Rhinolophus ferrumequinum: one gene and its partners. The protein of the gene in region 1 interacts with the protein of each later gene in a pairwise test. Links are inferred from orthologs where the notes say so. Each region holds a gene or a part of one and is shown on either strand. Other genes may lie near its edges.

Evidence for each region.
Region 2: the proteins of CLEC7A (region 1) and TMEM79 interact in binary tests that used the Homo sapiens proteins (3 or more experiments, as listed by UniProt). The two-hybrid records come from large-scale screens. The link is inferred for Rhinolophus ferrumequinum from reciprocal best matches to the Homo sapiens genes CLEC7A and TMEM79.
Region 3: the proteins of CLEC7A (region 1) and BNIP3L interact in binary tests that used the Homo sapiens proteins (3 or more experiments, as listed by UniProt). The two-hybrid records come from large-scale screens. The link is inferred for Rhinolophus ferrumequinum from reciprocal best matches to the Homo sapiens genes CLEC7A and BNIP3L.

Annotation. Positions count from the first base shown.
Region 1 is NC_046293.1:25,859,504-25,867,878, forward strand, and holds the start of CLEC7A (C-type lectin domain family 7 member A), read right to left. Parts: upstream 3,465-8,375; 5' UTR 3,371-3,464; coding exon 3,268-3,370; intron 1,693-3,267; coding exon 1,597-1,692; intron 314-1,596; coding exon 176-313; intron 1-175.
Region 2 is NC_046305.1:815,991-824,072, reverse strand, and holds the start of TMEM79 (transmembrane protein 79), read right to left. Parts: upstream 3,380-8,082; 5' UTR 3,263-3,379; intron 2,474-3,262; 5' UTR 2,431-2,473; coding exon 1,680-2,430; intron 1,422-1,679; coding exon 1,208-1,421; intron 1-1,207. Other genes in the region: nonsense-mediated mRNA decay factor SMG5, read left to right, coding at 4,720-4,793.
Region 3 is NC_046301.1:40,966,815-40,974,816, reverse strand, and holds the start of BNIP3L (BCL2/adenovirus E1B 19 kDa protein-interacting protein 3-like), read left to right. Parts: upstream 1-4,623; 5' UTR 4,624-4,640; coding exon 4,641-4,767; intron 4,768-5,419; coding exon 5,420-5,603; intron 5,604-8,002.

The DNA of each region.
Region 1 (8,375 bases):
GTATATATGACAGGGGCATATTAGAGTGAGATAATACTGATGTGTGCTTTCCTTGAATGCACAATCATGTAAAAGTGCTCTCTTCACCCACCCCCCACCCCCGCTCTAGGCTGGAACACCAATAATTAACTCTTCTGAATCCAGAATTCCATTAATCATTTAACTCTGCCCTTGCCTGTGGTTTTGAGAGCCTTGGTAGGAGCCACACTCTGTTCTAAAGATGATTGTGTGGATTGACTGTGGTTCTCTTTATTCCTTGACGGAAAATTGTCATTCTTCAATGAGTTGCTTCCTGAATTGGATCTCCACATACCTTCACATGCCACCAACAACAATAATGACAACAACAACAAAAAATCATTTTACTATGTTTGAAAATTAAAATCCCCAAACCCATATTTTTGTTGTAATATAAAGAGATGCATTCTTGATTAATGATTAATAGGTAATACACTGCTGATGGAGGGGTAAAGACAGAGAGATGATAGATAGATGGACAGTGTGGGGACAAAGCCAGGGGTGCAGTTTCCAGGCTCTCGGCCTCATGTGGAAAGGTGCTGGCTCAGGTAGCACCTGAGCGGGAGCTGAGACCCCACGTGATACCCCGCATGACAGATATATATATATATATATATATAGATGGTAGGTAGATAGATAGATAGATAGATAGATAGATAGATAGATAGATAGATAGATAGACAGATGATAGATAGATTAAATAGATAGAAAAAAATAACTTCCACATGGACGGTATAGTAAAAAAGAGAAAAATGAAGCAGGTTGAGAAGGAGAATAAGTATTAAGGAGAAAGCAAGTGACAGATAGAATAGAGTTAATTGGAGCCATGATAGATTTGAAATTATAGTAAATTTTCTACCTTTCTCTGTGTTTTAAAAATGAGAGCTCCTTGAAAACCTGTCCAGTACTTATAACATAGACTGTACCCAATAAACATTTGAATAATTAAGGAATCTAATAAAGACTCCCTGAGAGCACAATAATACTTTATTGACAATAGAATGCTTGAGATATAAAATCTAAGGAAAGTCATTCATTAATCACAAAATATGTACTTAGTATTTAGTAAGTGCCTCAGGTAAGTAACTGGTATAATCCAAAGGAGTTTAGATTAAAGATGAGGTTTAAAATAGTTTCCTTAAATCATGAGATTCATAAAAATAGCTTATAGTCTCTTTAGGGCATTTGTTTTATTAGGAAGCTAGCACCAAAATATACTTCCATCTTAACCTTTACTAGTTTTCTTCCATTAATTTATCCTGGGAATTCTACAGCTTTGAAATCAGCCATTCAAGGATGGTAATAGAGCAATGTACTTAAAAGTCTGAATTTTTCAGACAGATGTCCTAAATTTCTAATTGTGGTCTTACCACTAACTAGTTTATGATCCTGGAAAAGTAAAATAAATTCCCAGGCTCTCACTTCCCTTATTAATAAACTGGAAATTAATAACACCAATTCAATAGGGTTAATATACAGATTAAATTAGATTATGCATGCCAAGCTTTTAAAAAATTGTCTACTATATTATAAATGCTTATTAAATGTTTCTTGTTAATCTTCCCCAGCAATACTCACCCGTGGCACCCAGGACCACAGCTATCACCAGTATTATCAAGCATAGGATTCCCAAAATCACAGCAATGGAACGCCAGTGAGATATCCCACAATATCCTGAAGACCAGACAGAGCAGAAATTGAATGAAGAAATAAGACAATGGATTGTGGAGTACTTAAATTCTATAATTCATTAAAATCTGGCAAATTCTGAAGTGAACCATTAATCACTGATAACCAGATACTCCAGTTATCCAGAATTAGTCTGAATTTTCCCCCAACTTCAGCATTCGTCTTCAGGTTCTGGAAATGTAATTTGAGTGAGTTGATAACTATGCACTCCTGATTTCAGTGAGTTGATAACTATGCACTCCTGATTTCAGTTCCACATTGATGGCTCTACAACTCACACCACCAGGATTCATGAAATCCCACTCATTCTTGGAAGATACAGCAGAAATACAGGGGAAATAACACTGATGACTAAGGGTAATCTTCCCTTTTTACTTATTTGTTGCATGATCTTGGGCAAATTACTTCTTCTGTTTTTCCATTTCTCTTTGTACAATATTGGGGTAATAATACTTCAAAGGATTATTGTGGGAATTAAATGAGATAACACATGTAAAAGCACCCAGTTCAGAGATGACTAGCACATTACAGGTTTGTCCACACCTATGCATAAACACATGCACGCCTCCCTACCTTTTGCATTATCCAATTTTTCCACTCTCCCCCAAAAGGTTACCCAAGAAAAGTATTGCGTAAGTGGTGAGAGAAAAATAATTGTGCAATGTGAACTACCAGAAAGCAGAAGAGAGCAAACTGATGTCAAAACCTATGAATAATCTCTCTTGATAACAGGGGTCTAATTTATGTTAACATCACCACCAAGAACATAGTTTTGCCTTTGACTGAGAATAAGCAGTAACAACATTTCAGAGTTGTCAAATAGGAGAATCATAAAGGAGACTAAATGGCTCATTTTATGAGGAGAGAAATCTTTTAACACTATTCTCCATATATCATTTTTACGTTTTGTTTAAGACTCATGTCCTGCTAATAAATTCTTTTCATCTATAACATATATTTTTATTCACTGGTATATGAAGAATTGCTTTTTGTTTAAAAAAATCCAAATCAAGCTCTTACCACAGTACACATATCAAATTTGGGATTATAAATCCTATGACTTCTGACTTCCCTTTGGCCTTTACCACAAAATCACAAGTTTGTTTTTTTCCCTCACCTATCTTTCTTCTTTTCATTCTTCTCTTTCTCATCTCCAGTATCCTGATATTGTTAATATACTTCTTTAAGTTTCCTGAACTTCCATTCTACAATTTAGACCTTTCTATCAAACAAGCAATAAGCCACTCCTATTGAAATTCTTTCATCTTTGCAATTCGTCATACGTATTACCAACTCCTCACTACAGAAGTTTCTATTTCTATGGAACAGACACATTGTATTTTCTGTCATCATCATAATTAATTTAAACACTATTAATTAGCCACTGAATGGTTGCCATGAAAAATGTCTTAGTGCACATTCAAATTATCTTCAGTGACTTCTGAAAAACTTTTAAAATGTAGTAATAAAATCCCCACAAATCACAAGCCTCTCAAGTTTTCTCCACTTAAGTTTTTAGTTGATGAGAATGAAAATGTTGAAGGCATAAAGAAAAAATACCTTTCTCTGAGAACACAGGTCTCCTGGGGACATTTCGAGAGCTGAAGTCTAATTTAGTATATCCATCTTCATCCAAATTTTCTAAGTCAGGGTGATATTCCATTGTTCTATTGCGTTCCTGAATTGACAGAGCATTTGAGAGCTCTTTCCTCTCTTCCAAGACAACTCCTTGTGAACAAAAGAGGATCTATGAGTCAAATCACGTGGGATAGGCCTTTACTGAGCTTTAACAACTTGAGCTTAAGTAGTCCTACCAGTTATCCAAAAGCAGGAAATGGAGACGATGCTGTGTTAAGTTCCCATTTGTACCTTTAGATCCTGTTTCTGAGACTGATGACTCTTAAGGAAATTATAAGGTCTCATAACAGGTTGGGCTTTGTTTCAGACCAAATAAAAGAAATATGAAAAGATTGACATCTTATGCTGTTTTCATTATTTTTACAACTGAATTTGACATCATTAATTGACTTGGCCTATACAAATGTAAAAAAAATTTTGGTACCTTAAGTTTACCATTACTTCACTATAACTACACATTCCTTCATTTATTCATGTATTCAGTCATTCACTAAACATTTGTCAAATGCCCGTCTTTTCAATTGGCAGGAGCTGGGGATACAAGAAAAAATGATACCTGTGAAGGAGCTCATTGTTTCATAGAGTAAATCCACAGATGGATATATGAAGGATGCCATAAAGAGGGACATTGCTGTAACGACACAGAGAGGAAACAAAGCTTTTCTGGGATTTGTTAGAGATTAATAATAAAAAGTAGTAATTATTTATTAAACAATTACCATGAGGTAGGTACTACCCTGTGCACATGTTTTTTTCATTCAATCTTAATTTTCCAACAAGTCCTTGTGGTAGGTATTATTTGTCCTTCTTTTAAATGACGAAGATAAGACACAGAAATTTTAGTCCCTTGCTCACTTTTAAGAAGCTAATAAAAACATTGAAGGAAGGAATCAAACCAAAATCTACTGTTTCTGCACAATTCATGATCTTTTTTTTTTTCAGAAACTGCCTCTTTCACCATTCTGTCCGCCTATATTGCTAGTAACTGCTTATGAAGAATTCTGGGACTGAAATATTATGTTAAATGTTTGATTTTTCTCTCTCTCTCATCCAATTGCTATTGTAATGCCCCAATTAAGGAGATATGGAAAACAGTTATCCTTGCTGGAAACTAGTGATGTATCCGACCCATTTACAAGACTAAAGTGAACAGAATGAAGGAGATATCTGACATTGAAGCAATGAGGACAGATGTCCCTCAGTAGTGCTATTACAACAGAGAAGAGGACCAAGCATGAACTAAACTCAACTTCTCCAAAAAAAAAGGACTGAAGACTTTTTAAAGGCTTGGGTGAGCTCAGGAAAAGGCACTGAATCTCCTTAAGGGGGGTGGTGAGAATTAATTCATGTGACGTCATCTGGATTTGTTAACTGATGCATATCCAGAAGAGAAAAAAACTATCCTCATGACAGGAGGCAGTGGTGTTGAAACTGGGTGGTGCTCCCACTGACGTTACACCCTCTTATCCTCCCACAGGAACTGGGAGAGCAAGAGGTATGTCCCTAACTCCCTGATTGTTTGCATTCAAAGAGATGGCTCTCAGGTCCTTGAAGAAATTTTCATAACCTTCTTATATCAGTGTCTCACAGCTGTGTTTGTGCCGACATGTGGCGGTGTCTTGCTGAGTCGCCTTCATTATTGTTGTTGCATGTTTTTGTGTGCCATCATGAGAATGTCTGCGCTTGAATTAGAGCAACGGACAAACATTAAATTTCTTGTTAAACTTGGCAAGAAAGGAAGTGAAATCAGGGACATATTAGTCTGAGTTTATGGGGATAGTGCCATGAAGAAAAGCAGTGTGCAAATGGATTAAATGTTTTTCTGAGGGGAGAGAACGTGTCACTGATGAAGAGAGGCCAGGGTGGACAGTAATGAGCAGAATTGATGAAAACATTGCAAATATTCATTGAATTGTGCATCAAAATCATCGGCAGACTGTGAAAAGCACAGCAGACCAAGTAAACATTGATAGAGAAACAGCTAGAAAAATCTTAACTGAAAATCTTGGCATGAGATATGCGTGTGCAAAATGATCCTGAAGGATGCTCACCAATGAACAAAAACAAAGGAGAGTCGAAGTTTGCCAAGACCTTTAGGAAAGGCAAGACAATGTGTTGGGCTGTGTTATAACTGGTGATGAAATATTAGTGTATCAATATGACCCTGAAGCAAAGTGTCAAAATGCGCAGTGGAAGTCAGCCAATTCTCCACAACCACAAAAATTCCGTCAGTCCAAATCAAGAGTCAAAACGATGTTGCTAACCTTTTTGATATCAGAAGGATTATTCATTATTAATCTGTACCAACTGGACAAACAGTTAACCAAGTTTACTATTTGGAAGTGCTGAAAAAGCTGCGTGAAAAAGATGAAAATGACAACAATTCATGGCTCTTGCATCACAGCTATGCACCAGCTCACACGGCACTGTCTGTGAGGGAGTTTTTAGCCAGTAAACAAATAACTGTATTGGAGCGCTCTCCCTACTCACCTGATCTGGCCCCCAATGACTTCTTTCTTTACCTGAAGGTAAAAGAAATATTGAAAGGAAGACATTTTGATGACATTCAGGACATCAAGGATAATACGATGACAGCTCTGATGGCCATTCCATAAAAAGAGTTCCAAAATTGCTTTGAAGCGTGGATTAGGCGCTGGTATTGGTGCATAGTTTCCCAAGGGGAATATTTTGCAGGTGACCGTAGTGATATTCAGCAATGAGGTATGTAGAACTTTTTCTAGGGTGAGTTTGCGAACATAATTGTCAGAACTTGTATATCTCAACTGTTTATGATTAGTCTCCCATCCACATGTTTGTAAGCTCCATGAGTTAAGAATATCGCTTGTCTTGGTCACTGATATATCCCATGTACCTAAACTAACTTCTGATTCATTGTAGGTTATCAATAAATATATGTTGGGTTGATATATAAATGAATGTGTAAAAATAAATGAAAGTACTTAAAAAGTAATACCATATGTACAATACATGTATAACTACCTTCATATATTATAACATAAAATAACCCAGTTCTATTGTCTGATTTGGTTTTTGAACTCCAAAAGGACAAGCATTCTATTTCCGTTGGTATTCTGTATCCAATGTGTTGGGCAGTGTCTCAATAGTCCTATCTACTGGGGGAAATAGACAAGAAAACAAACAATTATGCTTCTTGTGAACTAAGAAATAAACTCTAGGTAATTCCAAGTTCTAGTCCCAAATCACAACCAACTTATCTTTAAATTGCCTTAGAAGAACAGGGGAAAATGAAGAATGGTGGTTATTATTTTTAAGTGGGAGCTGTTTTTTTGTTTGTATATTTGTTTTAAGTTATATGTGCCATTGTCTCTCTTTCTTCCACCACAGTGACTCTTCTTTCTCTTTTGCATTTGCTTTTTATTACATGGGCCATCCATATTTTGGTTGAATATGTTGACTATGTTTTATTTATTTATTTTTTTGTGCATTAAACTTAAACTCAGCATTTTCTTTTATAGGAAGAAAAATTATAGCCAAAGGTGAAGCACGACAGACCAAACAAGAAAGTCTTTAGATTGCCCCAGTATTGATACAACCAGAGAATCTCTGATTTTGCTTGTTTTATATGCGGGAATTTCATACATAATTTCATTTAAAAAAAAAAATTGAACCCATCAAATATTTGGAAGATATTCACCTGGTATATTTCATTCATTCATTCATTCCTTTTAATTTTTTTTTAAGATGGGAAACAACTCAAGATAAGGAAATTGGATTGCATGGGGGGTAATATCTTCAAGTTATTGTCAGAACTTCTAAATTCAAAGTCCATGTTATATCTAATAAATGTATCATGTTGTCCTGTTGCTCCTTATTCTATCACTGATTGACTGAGTGACTTTAGCTGTGTTGTTTAATTTTTCTCTTCTTGTTTCCTCACCAGTGAAATGATGACGGGTCTTAAATCTCTGTTGGGATCCTTGGATGGTGAATAGGAGGGGTACAGGAAACGAAAATATTAGATTCCTGGTGGTGTGTGATCTGAACTAAGTCAGTATGAATTAATCAAAAAGATTTATGTCCTCTGCCCATTTTTTGATTGGATTGTTTATTTTTTTTGTTATTGAGTTGTATGTGTTTCTTATATATTTTGGATATAATCCCCTTATTGGATATATCATTTGTGAATATAGTCCCACATCCAATGGGCTGCCGTTTGGTTTTGTTGAGGTGTCTTTCACTGCACAGAAGCTTTTTAATTTGACTTGGTCTCATTTGTTTGCTTTTGCATTTGTTTACCTTGCTCAAGGGGACATATCCAAAAAAGTATTACTCAGAATGATGCTTATTTCCTGTGTGTGTGTTTTTTTTTAGAAGTTTTATGGCTTCAGGCCTTACATTTAAGTCTTTAGACCCATTTTGAGTTTATTTTTGTATATGGTATAAGACAGTGGTCCACTTTCATTTTTTTGCATGTTCTTGTATCTATCCAGTTTCCCAACACGACTTGTTGAAGAGATTGTTGTTACTCCAGTGTATATTTTTACCTCTTCTGTCATAGATTAGTGACCATATAAGCAAGGGTTTATTTCTGGGCTCTCTTTCTATTCCATTGATCTATGTGTCCGTTTTTGTGCCAGTCCAGTACTGTTTTTATTATTATAGTGTTGTAGTATAGTCTGAGATCAGGGACCATGCTACCTCCTCCAAAGAAGACATACAGATAGCCAACAGACATGAAAAGGTGCTCAACATCACTAATCATCAGAAAAATGCAAATGAAAACCACAACAAGATACCACCTCACACTAGTCAGAATGGCTATTATCAAAAAGTCAAAAAGCAAATGTGTTGGCAAGGCTGTGGAGAAAAGGGAACCCTTGTGCACTGTTGGTGGGCCTGCGAACTGGTACAGCCTCTATGAAAAACAGTATGGAGGTTCCTCAAAAAAGCTAAAAATAGTTATACCATCTGACCCAGCAGTTCCACTTCTGGGTATTTATCCAAAGAACACAAAAACACTAATTTGCAAAGGTCTGTACACACCTATA
Region 2 (8,082 bases), on another chromosome or scaffold:
AAAGCACCTTGGATGAGGGAGGGAGGGGACCTGGATTCTAGTCCTGCCCTGAGATTCCCCCAGTCTGTCGTGGTTTCCTCTCCAGGAAATGGGTCAGATGGACCAGACAGTCGCTGAGTCTTTAGCTCCCTGATGAGTCTTACCGCCTAAGCCAACTTCTACCTGACACCAGCACTCCCAGAGACGGAGGTGGAGTTACAAAAGGTGGAGGAACATTTATCTCGGGAAACATCTCCTGGGAGAAAATACAGGACTGTGTGATGGTTAGGAGGCTGAGGGGACAGAGGACAACTAGACTACAATCAAAAGTAACAGGAAGACAAATGTTAGCTCGATAGGAAGACTTTCTTAGCAGTTAAAGCTACCGGGAATTGTATATTGATAGTGACAAAAGGAAATGTATTAGGGGCAAAAATGGAAAGACCTGTGTTTATTTGGCTTCAGAAATTCAAAGGTGTCTTCTGGGTTAACAGTAGTTCCCATGGAAACACCCCTAAGGATTTCATGGGACTAAATTCGAAATGAAAGGAGAGTAATGAGGCTGCCGTGAGAGCTAACGTGGCCTTGGTTTGTATGAGCCGAAGACCAATACCTTTCACCAGCCCCCCACCCTCACCCCATTTGACCAGCAGGAGAATTTCCTGCCCATAGAGAAAGACGGTGAAGGGGTCAGGGCCACTTAGCAAAGTAAACACGGGGAGCAGGGTGCTGGAGTAGGGGAACAGAGCTGTTGTCAAATATCCGAATTTGTCCTAGGCAATTCCAGAGATCAGGGTCAGGGCAGCAGTCTTTAGCACAACACAAAGAACTTCCTAATAACGAGGACCTTTGAAAAACGAAACAGACTGCCAGATAAAGAACTGAGCCCTTGGTCACAGGGGGTGTCCAACTAGAGGCCAACGGCTACCTGACCAGAGTGTCACCGGTGGGTGGCTGCAATGACACCTGGAAGCCCTTCCAGTTCTAGATGGTATATGAGTCTCCGAAATCGGCTTCCTGTGGGAAGACGTTTGAGCTGATCACCTGCTACCAGGTGAGGTAAGGTGCAAGGGAGAAAGTGGACTCACCTTTCCAGGGCGCACATTTGGGCCAGCGCAGGATCCAGACAGCTCCCGGACCCCGCGACCCGGGCTCTCTGCACATTCACTCACCTGGGTCCCTCTAGCGCCATTACCTCCCCTGTGCCCCACCCCCAGCCGCAGCTCACCGGGAGATGGCGAAGAGGCCAGTGAGCAGAGGGAGCAGTTTGAGGGTGTCTTGGGGCAGGTAGGTGGAAAGCACGGCCAGGTTGAAGAAGTAGAGGATGAAGAGCTGGACCGACTGGGCCACGTACTGCCGGTGGATCTCTACCTCCCGCCGGGGCTCCCCAAAGGGCCGCAGGGCGGAAAAGCACAGCAGACTCAGCCCGTACACAAGGAGGCCTGGCAGGGATGGAGATGCAGGGTCAGAGAGCACGAGGCAGGAAGCGGGGGCAGGGCGCATGGTGGAGAGCTCATGGGCATGGGTCTCCACAGTGGGGCTTGGGGTCCTGGGAGGGGCAGGCACACAGGGTGGCAGAGCGCGCAAGGCCCCGAGGGTCCAGCCTCAGTAAAGGGAAACTTCTGCTCCCCAGCCAGGCAGGCCCTGCCCTCGAGTCCAGCTCCCAGATGCCCCTTCCTTCTCACAGGGCCCAGGCTCACCCAGCACGATGGGGAAGGTGGCGAAGACCCCGCAGCGCAGCGTGTAGACGAGGCGGGAACTCATGGTGGGCAGCCGAGGGGCATCGAAGGGCAGGAAGGCGTACGCCCCGTACAGCAGGCAGGGGAAGAGGACCAGGGCGGCTGCCACGGAGGCCACAGCCCTCAGCCCCTCGTGGCCCCCGCAGCCCCCACAGGAGCGGCCGGGTGGCCTCACCACGGCCTCGGCCCACTTGCGCTCTGAGGGCTCAGGAGGGGTGGCTCGGGTGGGCAGGAAGGTCCGGCGGCGCTCTGCCTCACCGGCCTCACAGCGCACAGCAAGGTCCTCCTGGGGCCGCCGCTCGATGCACTGCAGGTCGATGGGCACAAAGGCCCGTGGCGCCTTCTCGGGCAGCAGGTCCACGTCATCGTCACACAGCTCCTCTGGTTTGCCAGGCGGCTCCGACTCCAGGAGCTCAGGCCCCATGTCCCGCCAGCCGGGGGGGTCCGGGAATGGGGCAGTGGCCTGGGGGCCAGTCCCCCAGGGCAAGGTGGCAGCCTCGCTCACTGTGCTGTCCAGACCATCCTTTGTCCCCTCTCCAGCTGTGGGAGACCCAGCTGAAGATCCCACGCTGGAGGGCTCAGCGCTGGGGGACTCGGCCCCACTTTCCCCTTCTGGCTGCCGGCCATTGGGGACCAAGGCTTGGGGTGAGCTCTTCTCCTGGGCCTCTGGCCCCTTCACTTCCAGCAGGGCCAGGTGTTCGGGCTCTGTCATCCTGGGACCTCAGTTCTGGGGTCTACCGTGAGGTCATGTCACCCTAGAGATTAACAGGAAAGCTCTGTCAGAAGTTCCGTCCTCTGGCCCTTAGGATGGGTTGACAGAACCGAACTCTCCAGGGCAGTTGGCACTCCCCTTCTGGGACCTTGGGGAGAACATGGCATGCAGGAAGGTGTTGAAACAGAGTGAGGAAGGAGAGACGTGAGCAGCTGAAATGGAGGCACCCTTCTGACATCAAACGCCAGCCAGCAGGAGCGGGTGAGTCAGGGGGCATAGGTCTTGGCAGTTGTGGCCTCAGCCAGTCCCCACCCACGCCTTCTGCTCCCCTCCACCAAAACCCCTGGGGTCATGGCCACCTTCATGCAGGAAAGGGAGGGACAGGAGGTGCCTAGAATTTTGCCAAGAGCTGCCTTCCCACTAAGGACCTCCTTGCGGACAGAGAAGCTGCCCCTTCACCTTCAAACCTCGCCTTCCCTGCAGATCCCTGCTTGGAACCCTCCTGGTAACTGATCCCAGTGATTTGCCAACAAATCTGTCCCAGGGAACTGGCATAGCAGTGCACCCTGTTCTTTCGTCTCTAGTCTGGGGACATGGGCAGTTGCCAAACTCCTCACTAGCCCACCTCATCCATCTGCAGAGGGCCTGCGTCTGTCCATTCTGACTTCTAGGTCCTACCATGGCTGTTCCCCATGCCTCCTCGCCGGTCTCTCCCCTCCCTGCCGTCCCCTCCGTTCTCCGTCTCTCTGCTTCTTGATGGGGCTCAGCCCCTCCCTCCACCTCCACAATGGCTTCCTACCCCTTGCCATTTTGGCCCATGACACCCTCTTACTTTCCATCTGGAGAGAGACGCAGGGTCCCCAGTCCCCACAGTGTCTGGGAAGGAGCTGCCCAGCTCCCTGCTGGCTCTGCAAGTAACCCTCTGGTCTCCCTCCCTTTACCTGTGTTTCCAAACCAGTCTGACCGGAGCAGGTGGGGCCCAGCTTAAAGGGGCAGGCCCCGCCCTGCTGAATCTGCCGACAGAAAAAGCCTTAGAGGTCGCCTGTCATCCTTTCTGAAAGTGGGGGTGCAGCTGGGCATAGAAGTAAGCGTGTGTTCTAGGCAAATGGCATGTGTAAGGGCTCCTGGCTCACGAAAACAGAGGGGGACCATGGGGTTTGTGCATCACAGGGTGCTTGGAGTAGGTTGGAATACCCAGAAAAGAGATGGAATTTCTACACTTATTTATTCACATTTACTGAGCACCTGTTATTAGCCAGGCACTGTTCTAGGCACAGACTCCAGAGACAACAAGATAACAGGCAAAGGCTCGGCCCTTGCGGAGCCCGTTCTCTTGGGGTCACAGATAATAAAGAAGCCTAGCGACTCAATAAATGAGACAATTTCAACAGGGAAAACCTTTCTGCCAAGGTGCCTTTTGAGCTGAGACCTGAAGGGAAATGAGGAGTGGGAGTGTTGCAGGCAGTGGAACAGCAAGTGAAAGGCCAATGAGTGAGAAAGACTGGCAGTTTCAGGAACAGAAAGAAGGGCGGTGGCTGGAACCAGCGGCACAGTGGCGGAGGGGGTATTTATGTTCCCATTTCAACGCGTACACAGTCCCCCACCCCCAAATACCTTGCTTTTTACCTTAGGTTTAAGGTCAAGAGAGCAATAGGAATCCAAGGTGATCTTTTCAATGGGTCGACCCGGGGGCAGAAACATGAGTGAGAGAGGGACTTCTCGTTCCTGTGGGACCTCACCACTAAAGGCATTTGAGCTTTGTGACATTTTTTTCCTAAAAAATTCTGACCATAATCTGAAAGAGACTCGACTCAAATGGAGTGAGGGGAGGTGAAGGGGCAGAAGGGTGGATTATAAATGACCACCGTAGGACAACGCAAAATCCGCTCCCAGCTCTAGCGTGAGCCCATTTGCCCCACTGAGCTTAGCTTCCCCCTTCTGGCTGGGTCCACTGTCCGTTCTCGAGCAGCTTTGTCAATAAAGTTTTTCGCAAGGGCTTGAAGAAGCCGGAAAGAGGCCATGCTGCCCAGAGTTAGTTCTGGCAACTTCCCGGGAGGGAAAACGAGTTTCGCGAGATTTGGTAGCCGCCGGCCACTGGCCCGCAGCTGTGCAGCTGCTATCGCGAGATTTGGCAGGCGGAGGAGGAGTCGCGGGCAGCCGCCTCAGCGATGGCGGCCGAGCAGGGCCGGCAGCGGTGGCGGCTGCGGCTACGGCCGGAGACGGCAGTGGTGGAGGTAGCGGTGGGTGGCGGGGGCCTGTGACCGGAAGCCGCCCCCGGGCCCGGGCACCATGAGCCAAGGCCCCCCCCCAGGGGAGAGCAGCGAGCCCGAAGCAAAGGTCCTCCACACCAAGCGGCTTTACCGGTGAGAGGGGCCGGGGCGTGAGTGCAGTCGCGGAGGGAAGTGGGGGGACAGCGAGGGGCGGGGCCTCCAGGCGGGCGGGGCCCGGGCGCCGGGCTGGGGCGCGGGCGAGGGAGGAGGGTGCAGTTTTGGAGGGAGCGGGTGGGGGGCCCCCTAACCCGGGACGGAGCTGAAAGAAGAGGTTGGGTGGGTGGGAGGTTGGGAAGGAAGCACGTGGAGGGAGGGATCCCCACAGCGGTGAACTTGGGGCGGGCACCGAGCTTTGCGGTTTTGGGGTCAGCAAAGGTGGGGGGGACTTGAGGGCTGCAGGGGTGGGGGAGGTGAGGGTGGAGTCCGAGATGGAGGAGAACCCGGAAGGGATGAGCCCTGAGAACCCCGCAGGACCGAAATCGGGAGAGCCAGGTTAGGTCCTCGCCTTGCCGCGTCTCACGGTGTGACCTTGGGCCTGAGCGTCCTCGTCCTTAAAAGGAGAAATTTGGATGTGATACGTCCTGAGGTCCCTTATGGCTCACATTTTTGGGATTCTGAATGAAAGGAAAGAGGCTGGAAGACTGTTGGACTGAAAGGGCCCAGAAGGACTTGGAGTCCAGTGTCCTTGGTTCACGGGAGCCCGTTTCAGGGCACCTGGGGACTCCTGACTCCTGCCGGCGCCCCAGCCTCATGACTCCAGTCCTTTGCCAGGCAACCTCCAGTCTTGGTTTCTGATTTCCGCAGTGCCTCTCACGCTCCGCGGCGTCTGTAGCCCTTCAGTCCTGTGTTGGGAACCGGCCAGGATGAGTTCTTCCCACCCTGGGTCAAGGATATTTTGTGTTCGGCAGCTGGAACCTGGGCTCTAGAACTGGATGGACATAGAATGAAGCATAGAGACTCCAGTTGGGTTTTCTCCTTTCTGGTAGGGAGTAGGGATTGCGGTTTTCCTTTGGCTCAGGCTCTGTTGAATAGAAGGGTTTGCACGAGAGATGGACCTTCGGAGCCCTGGGCCCTGTCTTGGCAGTGAAAGAGTCAAGAGCATGTTGTCTTTTCCTCCTGAGTGGGCATCCTGCCTGCTCGGCTTCGGAGACAGAGGGGAGCGTGGGCTGCTCCCAAAATAGAAAAGTGATCCAGTCCCGCAGCCCCTGGGCTCCCACTGTGGGCTGCCCCCAGGTGGCACGTGTGTCAGAGCTGCCTGTCAGACAGAGCGTGGGCAGTGTCTGCAAGACGCCTTACTTGTCTCCAGCTTTGGTAAAGGCTCTGGTCATCCCGATCATTCTCAAATCTAGTATTTTCTCAAGCCACTACCTGCACAGGACTGATTGGCTTAAGCCGATGTGTGGCTGACCTGTGTGCTCGTGGAAGTCTGCCTGCAGTCGTGTGTTGTCAGCTTTGAGCAGCGTGGGAACTGGAGGCGGCGGGTCTCTGTTTTTATAATTTATTGTAGCAAGGGTGGGTGGAGAAGGAACTGGGGGAGGGAGGTCTTGTTTCTCTGCCCCACATAAGTGTGTGTTGTGAGACTGGAATTGTCACTGTGAGCTTCAGTAAATTTGGGACTTTCTCACAATCTAACGGCTTACAGAAATGAAATTCTGAAACGTTTTCAGCCCCTCAGAAGGCAGGCAGCTGGAGAAAGGATGCTGAAAGGGACACAAGCACCAATTAATTAGGCCAACGAACTAGTTTTTAAAAACATTTTTCTTTTTTGACACTGTTCTAGGCCTGGGAGTACAGTAGTGAATGAGACACAAGACAGTTTTTGTGGGTTTTGTTCTACAGGAAATTACAGTCGAGTGGAGGAGCTTATGGTCTGATGGGGAATGGAGCAAACAGTGCTGCGTCCTCGCAGGTTTAAGAATTTTCAGTTAGAACTTCCCAGCGTAGTGGTTATTAACCTTTAGAATGGAGGGAGCACTCTAGAGCCTGTCCATAAACACACACACACACCCGCCCACATCTGTCTAGGGCACTGAAGTTAAAAGCCCTGCCCTGGGGACTAAGCTGGCATAGAGTAAATCCCTGACGACTGCCTGTGCCCCTGGCATCCAGGGTCAGGCTGGCTACAGGGCTTGGCTCCCACCTCTGGGCAGCCCAGCGTGGTTGGAGAAAGGCTGAGCTCTCAGGACTGCTTGTGACAAGGCCTGATTACCATCTCACTCACTGTCATTCTGCCCTGTATAGGGCAGCTTTTAGTACTGTACGCCCTGAGCCCCCACAGGGCGCCCGCCTGCTATGGCCCACTTTCCTCAGTCCAGCAGCACGTTTCAGTCTTCTGGAACGATCCGGACTGTTCTCAGAATTATCACTCCCTGAGTACCGGTTGCTTTTGTGTCCAGAGCTGTGCCTGATTCCCCTGTTGTCACAGCTGCTGTCTGTCACCTTCTGGGTTTTACCCTTCCAGAGATGACACCTCCCTCTGGAACGTCTTAGCCATCCACCGAATTTCCTTGGCCTTTTCACTTAGCGTCTGGTGTCTCCTCCGCAGCCTTATAACAAGAAGGGTGAAGGTCAGACTTACTGGGCACTTGCTATGTATGGACCACTGTCATGAGTGCTTTCTGCATTAGCCACTTTAATCCCCACAAAATAGGTGATAATGTTATTCCCATTTTATAGATGGAAGAACTGAGGCATAAGGAAGTCAGATAGCTATTTTGCCCTGGACCACATAGCTGGTGAGAATTAGAGCCAGAGCCTACACTCTGTACTAAGCAAATAGTTCGTTCAGCAGAATCCAGGAGCCCTTATGATGAAGCAGCTCAGGAATCCCCACCCCGCTTTCCCATACCCACTATTCCAAAGCAGAACTCCATGCTAGGAATGGCACTCCTTTATGTCAGAGATAAGAAGCCCTTCCGTAATCATTCATTCATTCCTTTCCTTGTTGACTGCCTGCCATATACCAATGTTGTATATAGGTTATTTTATTTAATCCTCACGACAGCCTCTGCAGTAACTGCATATACTATTATCTCCATTGCTGTGGGTGTGGTAACTAAGGCTTAAAGAGTAATTTGCCCCAAGTTACAGAGTTAGGGAGGCACGGCCAGGGCTCAAACCCTAGATTTGCTGCCTGTGCTTTTTCCCCTGGGAGAGTCCACTTCCCGTGTCGCAGGGTCCCTCGTCCTTGGCACTGTCGATGTTTTGGGTGGGGTAGTTATTGTGGTGGGCTGTCCCGAGTACTGTGGGGTGTCTAGCACACCCACTAAATGCCACCAGCCACTCCTCCCCCCGTACCACCCGCGTCCCAGTTGTGACCATTGGAAATGTCTCCCTCGTAGCCAGCTGTCCCCTGGGGGCGGCGGCTGCATGAGGATGGAGA
Region 3 (8,002 bases), on another chromosome or scaffold:
ATTGTTTCTCAGTCTGGTTGTGTTGTTTCTCAGTCTGGTTGTATAGGACACAGCTCCCTGGCCCATGCTGGTCTGATGAGCCTTGTGCTGCCCCCAGCTGAGTCAGTAGGTTGCCGGTCATCGGTGCGCCGCTCGCGGCAGCTGGGCCACTCACAGCAGCCACTCACGGCAGCTCTCGCTGGCTGCCGGCCACTCATGCTGGGCTGGCTGCCGGCCGCTCCTGGCAGCACGCAGCAGCCCAGCTCCAGGGAGAGCTGTTGTTCACAATCTTAGCTGTAGAGGGCGCAGCTCACTGGCTCATGTGGGAATCGAACCGGTGACCTCGGCTTTAGGAGCACGGTGCTCCAACCACCTGAGCCACCAGGTTGGCCCAATTGTGTGGTTCTTATTCTCTCAGAATGTTACTCCACCTAGTGTAATGTACAGAGGTCACCTGCCTATCTCTTTTTAGTACACTGTCTCTTTAATTGTACTCATTGTGTTCCTGTGATACTTATAAGTTAGCTGTTTGGTTAATATGTGTACATGATTTCACAGAAAGCAAAGGAATTGTAATTTCCTTTCACCATTTAACAAAAAAAAAAACAATGGGGTTGAGCTATACGTGATTGTTTAATCTCCATGTCTGACAGACCCGTGAGGTATGTGATGTTCTTGGCCAAGCAGTTGCTGCTACGTTTATGTTAGCTCTTCGGAAGTGGAAGAACACTCAGCATGTGTGTGATATCAAAATGTTGCTTTGGGAAATCTGCTAGATAGAAAGTATTTTATTTGGGGTAGGGTGACCTTTTAAGTTACTGAAAAGCTTTTAGATAGTGCCATATTTAATTACTCCCCTCTTGCTTTTTACTGTGTTTGTTTTTTTTGTTTTTTGTTTTTTTTAGCTCATTATACAACACTGAACTGAACAAAACAAGAAGCCTTATTGATTCCTTCAAGTGATTTTTGGGCAGAACAGCTTATTCAGGCATCTAACATGTGCTACCCAAATTGCTGATAAGTTGAAGTTCTTTTTCTTTTTGCAAAACTGTGAAAAACAGGAGATGAACTCATTGTAGAGATTATCTCTGCCTTGGGATTTTATCTTTAGTTCAAGGGTCAAAGCAGAGTGTTAATAACAAATTATTGAAATATTTGGAATAATGAAATCTTTCTCTGACTTTTTTTGTTTACCATCGTAGGGGAACTATTCACTTTGATTACAAATTAGTAAACACACAGATCTGAATTATTTCCAAAGCTAAAAGGTTATTTTCTAGTTTTACTTTTAAGAAAACTATTGTTAGTTTTACTCTTAAGAAAACTATTAAGTTACTTAAGAATATTTGTGTAGGACATATAGGTCGTAAAAATCAGAAGGTAATAGGAAAATCAAGGTAGCAGTATAACTCTTGTTGTTTAACATGGGAAGCACAGCCTTTTTTCTCCTTTTTAAACATCTACCATGACGTTCTTGCTCCCCCAGTATGACAGGAAGGCTTTTAAGGCTATGACACATGAAACTTCACTGTTTATAATACTATTTTTAACACATAAGTAACTGGTGTCTTGAGTACCTGCTTGTGCAAAAAGACCAATTCTTTTTTTTTTTTTTTTTTAAATAGGAATGTCAGTGACTATTTCTGTTCTGGATTCCAGCATTAGGTATTTGAAATAAATAAAGGCTTTGGGGAAAGAAGATAAGACATAATGAAATGTGTCACCCCGGTTAGGGTTAGAGTGACACGTGGGGCCTTGTCATCTTGTGGAAAATGAGAACTAGTACTCTTTTTCTTTCCCTCTCCCTCCCCACCCCTAACTTTCCCACACCCCTTCTTGAAAGAGGATTGAACTGGTGACCATAAAACTATGAAGAGTGTGTACAACAATAGTCATGAATATAATGACAATCACTGGACCAACCTTCGCCATGTACTACTATGTTGGAGAAAGTGGAAGGATGGGTCTCTGAATCTCTTAGTGAGTCTCAGAAACTTGTATTAGAAAATATCTCATGTGCTGTGTATATGTACCATCCGGCATGACAGAACAGTTTTCAGTTTGTAAGGAGGCTTTGAATATAATAGAGCCTGCATGTTTTTTTTTTTTTTTTTTAATTTTAAAGCTTGATTGGTAGAAAGAGAATTCACTCTGAGATTGTTTTCTACTTTGTATTGCTTGGACAGCACAATCATATCTGACCATGTTTCCTTTCCAAGTAAGAAGGGACTTAGGATTGGTAGAATTAGAACATTAAAAAATTCTGAGGCTGTGAATAGGGAGTAAACTAGGTGATGGAAAAAAGGCACATGTAGTTCATCTATTGAGAAAGATAAGTTTGCTTTCCCCCCCATTTTTCTCAAAAGATAAAGCTGATATGGAGCCTCTTAATGAATATCTGTGTACATAATTTTCTCTGCAGTACTGTTTTTCCATAGATGATATTTCTGGAAGAGAATTATTAAGTTAAAGGAAATCTACCTTTTTAAGGCTCCTAATACATATTGCCAAGTTACCCTCCACTGAAGCCTTGATTTTAATAACATTAGAAACAGTAATTTCGTTAATGGTTAACCATTGCCATTTGGAGAATGGTTAAAGTATGGTATAGCTTTATGATGAGAAGCAAAGCAATGTTTAAAAGAATGAAGTAAGGCAATATATATTGATGTTGAAAGACATCTGCAAGTTGTTAGGTAAGGAATGCTACTTACCGAAAGATATATACAGTATGATTCCATGTTTTTGTAAAAGCTCTAGAAGTTTACATGTAAAAGTTTTAAAAGTGGTTTCCTTTGGTATAGGAATGTGAGATTGGGAGAAGTATTAATTTCTACTTTATGTACTGATGTTGGCATTTTCAAGGAACACATTTTTGTAAATAATTTTTTTTAAAGGAGTATAATTATAACATTAGCTAACACATAGCACTTACCATGTACTAGGCACCTTTTGTATTTTTTTTATGTGCTTTATTCATTTCATCCTCCTAACTATGAAGTAGATACAGTTATTATTCTTACTTTACAGATTAGAAAACTGAGAGATCTAGGGTGTAACAGGTATAAGTGATAGGATGGGAGTCTGGCTTCCGTCTGTGCACTTAACCACTATACTAGTAATATATGCACAAACAATATTGTCTGCCTAAAGTAGAAATGCCTTCAGTTAGGCTGAGGGTTAGGGCCATTGCAGAAATCACTTCACTAAGCTTTTCTAGGTATGTCTCCTCAAGTTCCTAGGTTATGATTCCTTACATATTTTTTGCAGGAAGTAGAAATGGTTTAGAAATCCTTCAAAAAAGTAAGGTCTAGAAAACCTGCTATTGTTACACCCCTTTTTCTCTTTGGTCAGCTACAAGTGAACATTAATTTTATTTTGAGGAAGATTTGCTTCCACAGAGACCTCTCCAGAACTCCTGATAGCTTATGCAGTCCTGCTTCTGCCAGAGCAGAAGCAGGCTTTTTATTTGTTTTTGTTTATTTTACACATTGGGCTTTTGTACAAGAAGAACAGGTCCCATTGGTTTAAAGTAAGTTTGAAAATTCTAGAAACAGTAGAAAAAAAGTTTATCATATACCGCTGTCTTTCTGTGTCTCTCTCTTTCTAGTTAAAATATTTTGCAGAGCCCTAAATTTAGGACTGCGTTTGGCATATGTTTTATACACGCCAGAGGCACTGCAAATATTTAGTAAAATTACGTTCAGTGTTAGGTCTGTCTTAGCTTTGTTAGTTAAGTTTGTTGATCCATGTTGAGTTCTATCTAGTCTGTGTCCATTTTTGTGTGTATATAGAACGAGAACACGGAGATGTCATACAACTGTTTTTTGACAGTATCGTCCCAAAGAATCGGTGCTGATTAAGGGATTGTGACAACCCCGGGACGGCCTTAGAGGGAAAGGAAGGAAAGGGTAACTTCATTTTTATTTAGCAAACACTGTTTTAAGTGCTTTACAAATAAAAACTCTTTTAAGTAGTATATAACAGCATCTACTGTTTACTAGGTCCTTTACCTATGTTCCTATATTTAATCTTTATAGCAGCCCTGGAAGGTAGGTACTATGTAATCTGTTTTACAAATGAGGAAACTCAGGGTCAGAAAGTCAGATAGATAGTAAGGGGTGGAGTCAGATTTCCAACCAGGTTTGCCTTTGAGCTTTTCCTTCTGATGATGCTGAGTTCACTTCTGGATCTGGAATAGTCATCACCTCATTTAGAGTGCCTTTGGGTTTCGAACCTGTTTTCATGATTATTCTGATTTACTGGTAGAAGACTGTTCAGCCACAAAACTCTCTCTAATGCTTCTGCTGGGAGTTTAGAGGAATGGCCCCACCAACCCGCTTGACTGTACTTTCTAAAACAAATTTTATTGTAAAGAATGGAAATTATGAGAAAAAACATACACTACTGTCTCTTTTTGTTGTAAGGTTGGCTTATTGGCTGCCAACATGTCCCTTCTCACCCTCTATCCACCAACACATTAGCTACCTGAATGTGTTCAGCAAACTCATTGAACCAATAAATATTTTCAAGACCTAGCCAAATTACCAGAGCCACGCCCCTTTCCTGTGGCTCCACTCCCTTTGTTCCCCTGAGAAAACTTAAGTGTTGCCTGTAGCAGATCCTCAGCCATTTCTGCCCCGCAAAACTAATGAGGCTTAATGAAAACCCTAGAAAGTAGGAACTCGTGGGAGAGAAGAGAGAAAAGACAAGTTCACAAGGTATGTTTAATGCGTAGAGAAAGAGTGAGGTATAAAGAAAAGGAAGAAACTAATTCGTGGGATAGAGGTAAAACTTTTTTCAGAATTTTTAGCAACCTGATTTAGTTGAGAGCCGGCTGCGTTAATTTTATGCTCCAGATTTGTACACAAATTGAAATTTTTTTGATTGTATTTAAGTTCCCTCTCTAGGAGCTTCTCAGTTGTTTGTGCTAAGTATGACTTAGTTGTTAATTTATTTAGATGACTTTTATGAAGTTTTTAAGTCGTATGTTTATTTCATTTGTGGAGAGGATACAACTAAATGGCTGGGGTAGACTATGAAAAAATCATATATAACTAGAATATTGAAGGTAAGTAGCCTGTCTAAAAATAAAATAGCGATTTATTTTTTAAAAAGTGACCTAAAAGCTTTTACTGAAGTGTTTATTGTATATAAACTAAGCTTTAACCAGAGAGAAAATTGACTGAAAGATACATTTTCTAAGATACTAGTTTTAGAGTCCCAGCTTCTAAATTGGTTGCTTATGTGAGCTACATCAGGGACAGAACTATATAGATTTTTAGATGTTTATTGCTCTTTGCTTATTTTCTTCAGAATTCTTTCTGCATTTGGTTTAGGTGAGTCAGACTTATCTGAATTCCCCATATTCACATCTGTGTGCACATGACAGACTGCAGTTCTGCTGTGGTTAACGTAAGTTATCTGACTTGTCCAACAGGTTCCTGGGTGGAGCTACCCATGAACAGCACCAATGGCAATGATAATGGCAACGGGAAAAACGGGGGGCTGGAACACGTCCCTTCCTCATCCTCCATCCACAATGGAGACATGGAGAAGATTCTCTTGGATGCACAACATGAATCAGGACAGAGTAGTTCAAGAGGCAGCTCTCACTGTGACAGGTAAGTAAGAGCCGCATTTTGGTAGAATTCAGGAAACAGATGGGTTACAAGGGGAACTCCCGTTAGAAAAAATAAATGCTTACATCTTCATTTAATCAAAATAGGATTCTTGATTTAGTGCAGCATGTGTATTTAAATCAGACAGCTGACTGACAAGTACTTGAGTGCCCTTTGTTTTCCCCCAGATTAAATCAATGTCCTTACCAGATTGTATCATTTTTAGATGTTTATCAGTTTAAAAGTCAATGGCATAAATGTTTTTTCTTTTTTTTTTTTAAAGATTTTATTGGGGAAGGGGTACAGGACTTTATTGGGGAACAGTGTGTATTTCCAGGCCTTTTTTCCAAGTCAAGTTGTTGTCCTTTCCGTCTTAGTTGTGGAGGGCTCAGCTCAGCTCCAGGTCCAGTTGCCGTTTTCTAGTTGCAGGGGGCACAGCCCACCATCCCTTGTGGGAGTTGAACCGGCAACCTTGTGGTTGAGAGGACACGCTCCAACCAACTGAGCCATCCAGGAGCTCAGCGGCAGCTCAGTTCAAGGTGCCCTGTTCAATCTTAGTTGCAGGGGGCAGAGCCCACCATCCCTTGCGGGACTCGAGGAATTGAACTGGCAACCTTGTGGTTGAGAGCCCACTGGCCCATGTGGGAATCGAACCGGCAGCCTTCGGAGTTAGGAGCATGGAGCTCTAACCGCCTGAGCCACCAGGCCAGCCCCATAAATGTTTATGTACAGAATTAATCTGACTTTCTTCCATTTTCCTTTGTGCCTCTGTTTCACAGATCACATTCTCCTAGACTACGGTTATCTCTGTGTATCTCTGTCCTCCCTTCTAGATGGTGAGGCTTTAAAAGGCAGGGGTCATGTTTCATCTCCTTTGTACTCTCACAGTAACGGGGCTGGCATGTAGTAGACACTCAGTAAATGTTTGTGTCATAGGAACTGCAAATTGATTCAAGTTACAGCAGTATTTACACGGAAACACCAACCAAGGTCTGTAAAGATAGTTCATTTTGAAGGTCATTCTGTTTTCTTAGAGCAAGTTTTATTTCAGACCTCATTTTGGTATATTTGAGTTAAGAAAACTAATTCCACTGATTAAGGGCTGCTTATGGTGAAAGAATAAGAATATAGAGATAGGTATGAGTGTAATGAAACCGAGCTATGTTTATTTTTCAGTATAAGTGAAGTGTCTCTTTTTTTTAGAGGGTCCAGCTATTAAATGACAGTGGTATATTGAACAATGCTTAGACCAGTGGCAGCCATACTGGTAGTATGCTGGGGTGCTGGATGATCTTCTGGTTAATTAAGAGTTAACTGATATCTGCCCTGTAGAAAATGCAAATGCACATGAAAAAGATGAAGGAAACATTTAAAAATGTAGACAGTGATTAGGGGGTAGAATTACAGGTTTTTCTTCTAAGTATTTTTGTGTTTTGTAAAAATTGTGTATATGGCACATATTATTGCTTATCAGAAAAAATATAAAAGGAGAAACAGAGTTAAATTGTGTTTGAAGTGCCTGTATGTCTTATGACCCAGGCACGTTCCCAAGGCAGCAGAGGACTGGTTTGCCTGCTCTGTGCACCCCCACCACCCCATCTCCTCTCTGACTTTTCCCTGTGCTTCTTAAAAGCCTGGGGTAGCTCTAACATAAGCAGAAGCAGAACAGATGGCCCTTTTCTGAGCAGCTTGCCATTGATTCCAGTAGCTACAGCGTTAGTCTGTCTTTCAGAATGAAGTTTATATTAATACACAGGCAGACCTCAGAGATATTGTGGGTTTGGTTCCAGATCACCACAGAAAAACAAAAACTAAAGTGCGTTGTAATCTTTTTGCTGGTGGAGGGTCTCTTGCCTTCAATTTGTAAAAAATGCAACATCTGTGACGTGCAATAATAAAGTGAAGCGGACAAAATAAAAGTGCACAAAATAAAATACCAATGCATCAGTGGGCCTCTGAAGTTTTCTGTTCATTGAGGGCCTGTTGAGAAAGCTTTTCCTGTACATCCAAGTTTACATGACCATTAATCATTGGTGCCAGTGTGTCCCTTAACTTGTTGTTTACTTGGTGCTCTCATGGAGCAGAGAGAAAGTCACCAGCTTGCCTTTCAGGTTATCTTGTTTCATTTATGGTTGCAATTATCCTTGTGGTTCAATATGAATTCACCTTCCCGTGATTGTCTGTACGTTGTGTTTCTAAAGATGTGAAGTGAGGTATGGCAAATGCTTTTGAACACTTTCTTATCGCTTGGCCTGTGTATCTTGAGGCTCTGGGTTACGGGTCATGTTTCAGAGGAGGCCTAGAACTCTTATCTAGCTCTAGTACTCTCCGGGGATGCAGCACACGTGAACATTTAAAAGTGTCTTCCGAATTCATGCCGTTTGAATTGCCATGCATCTCTA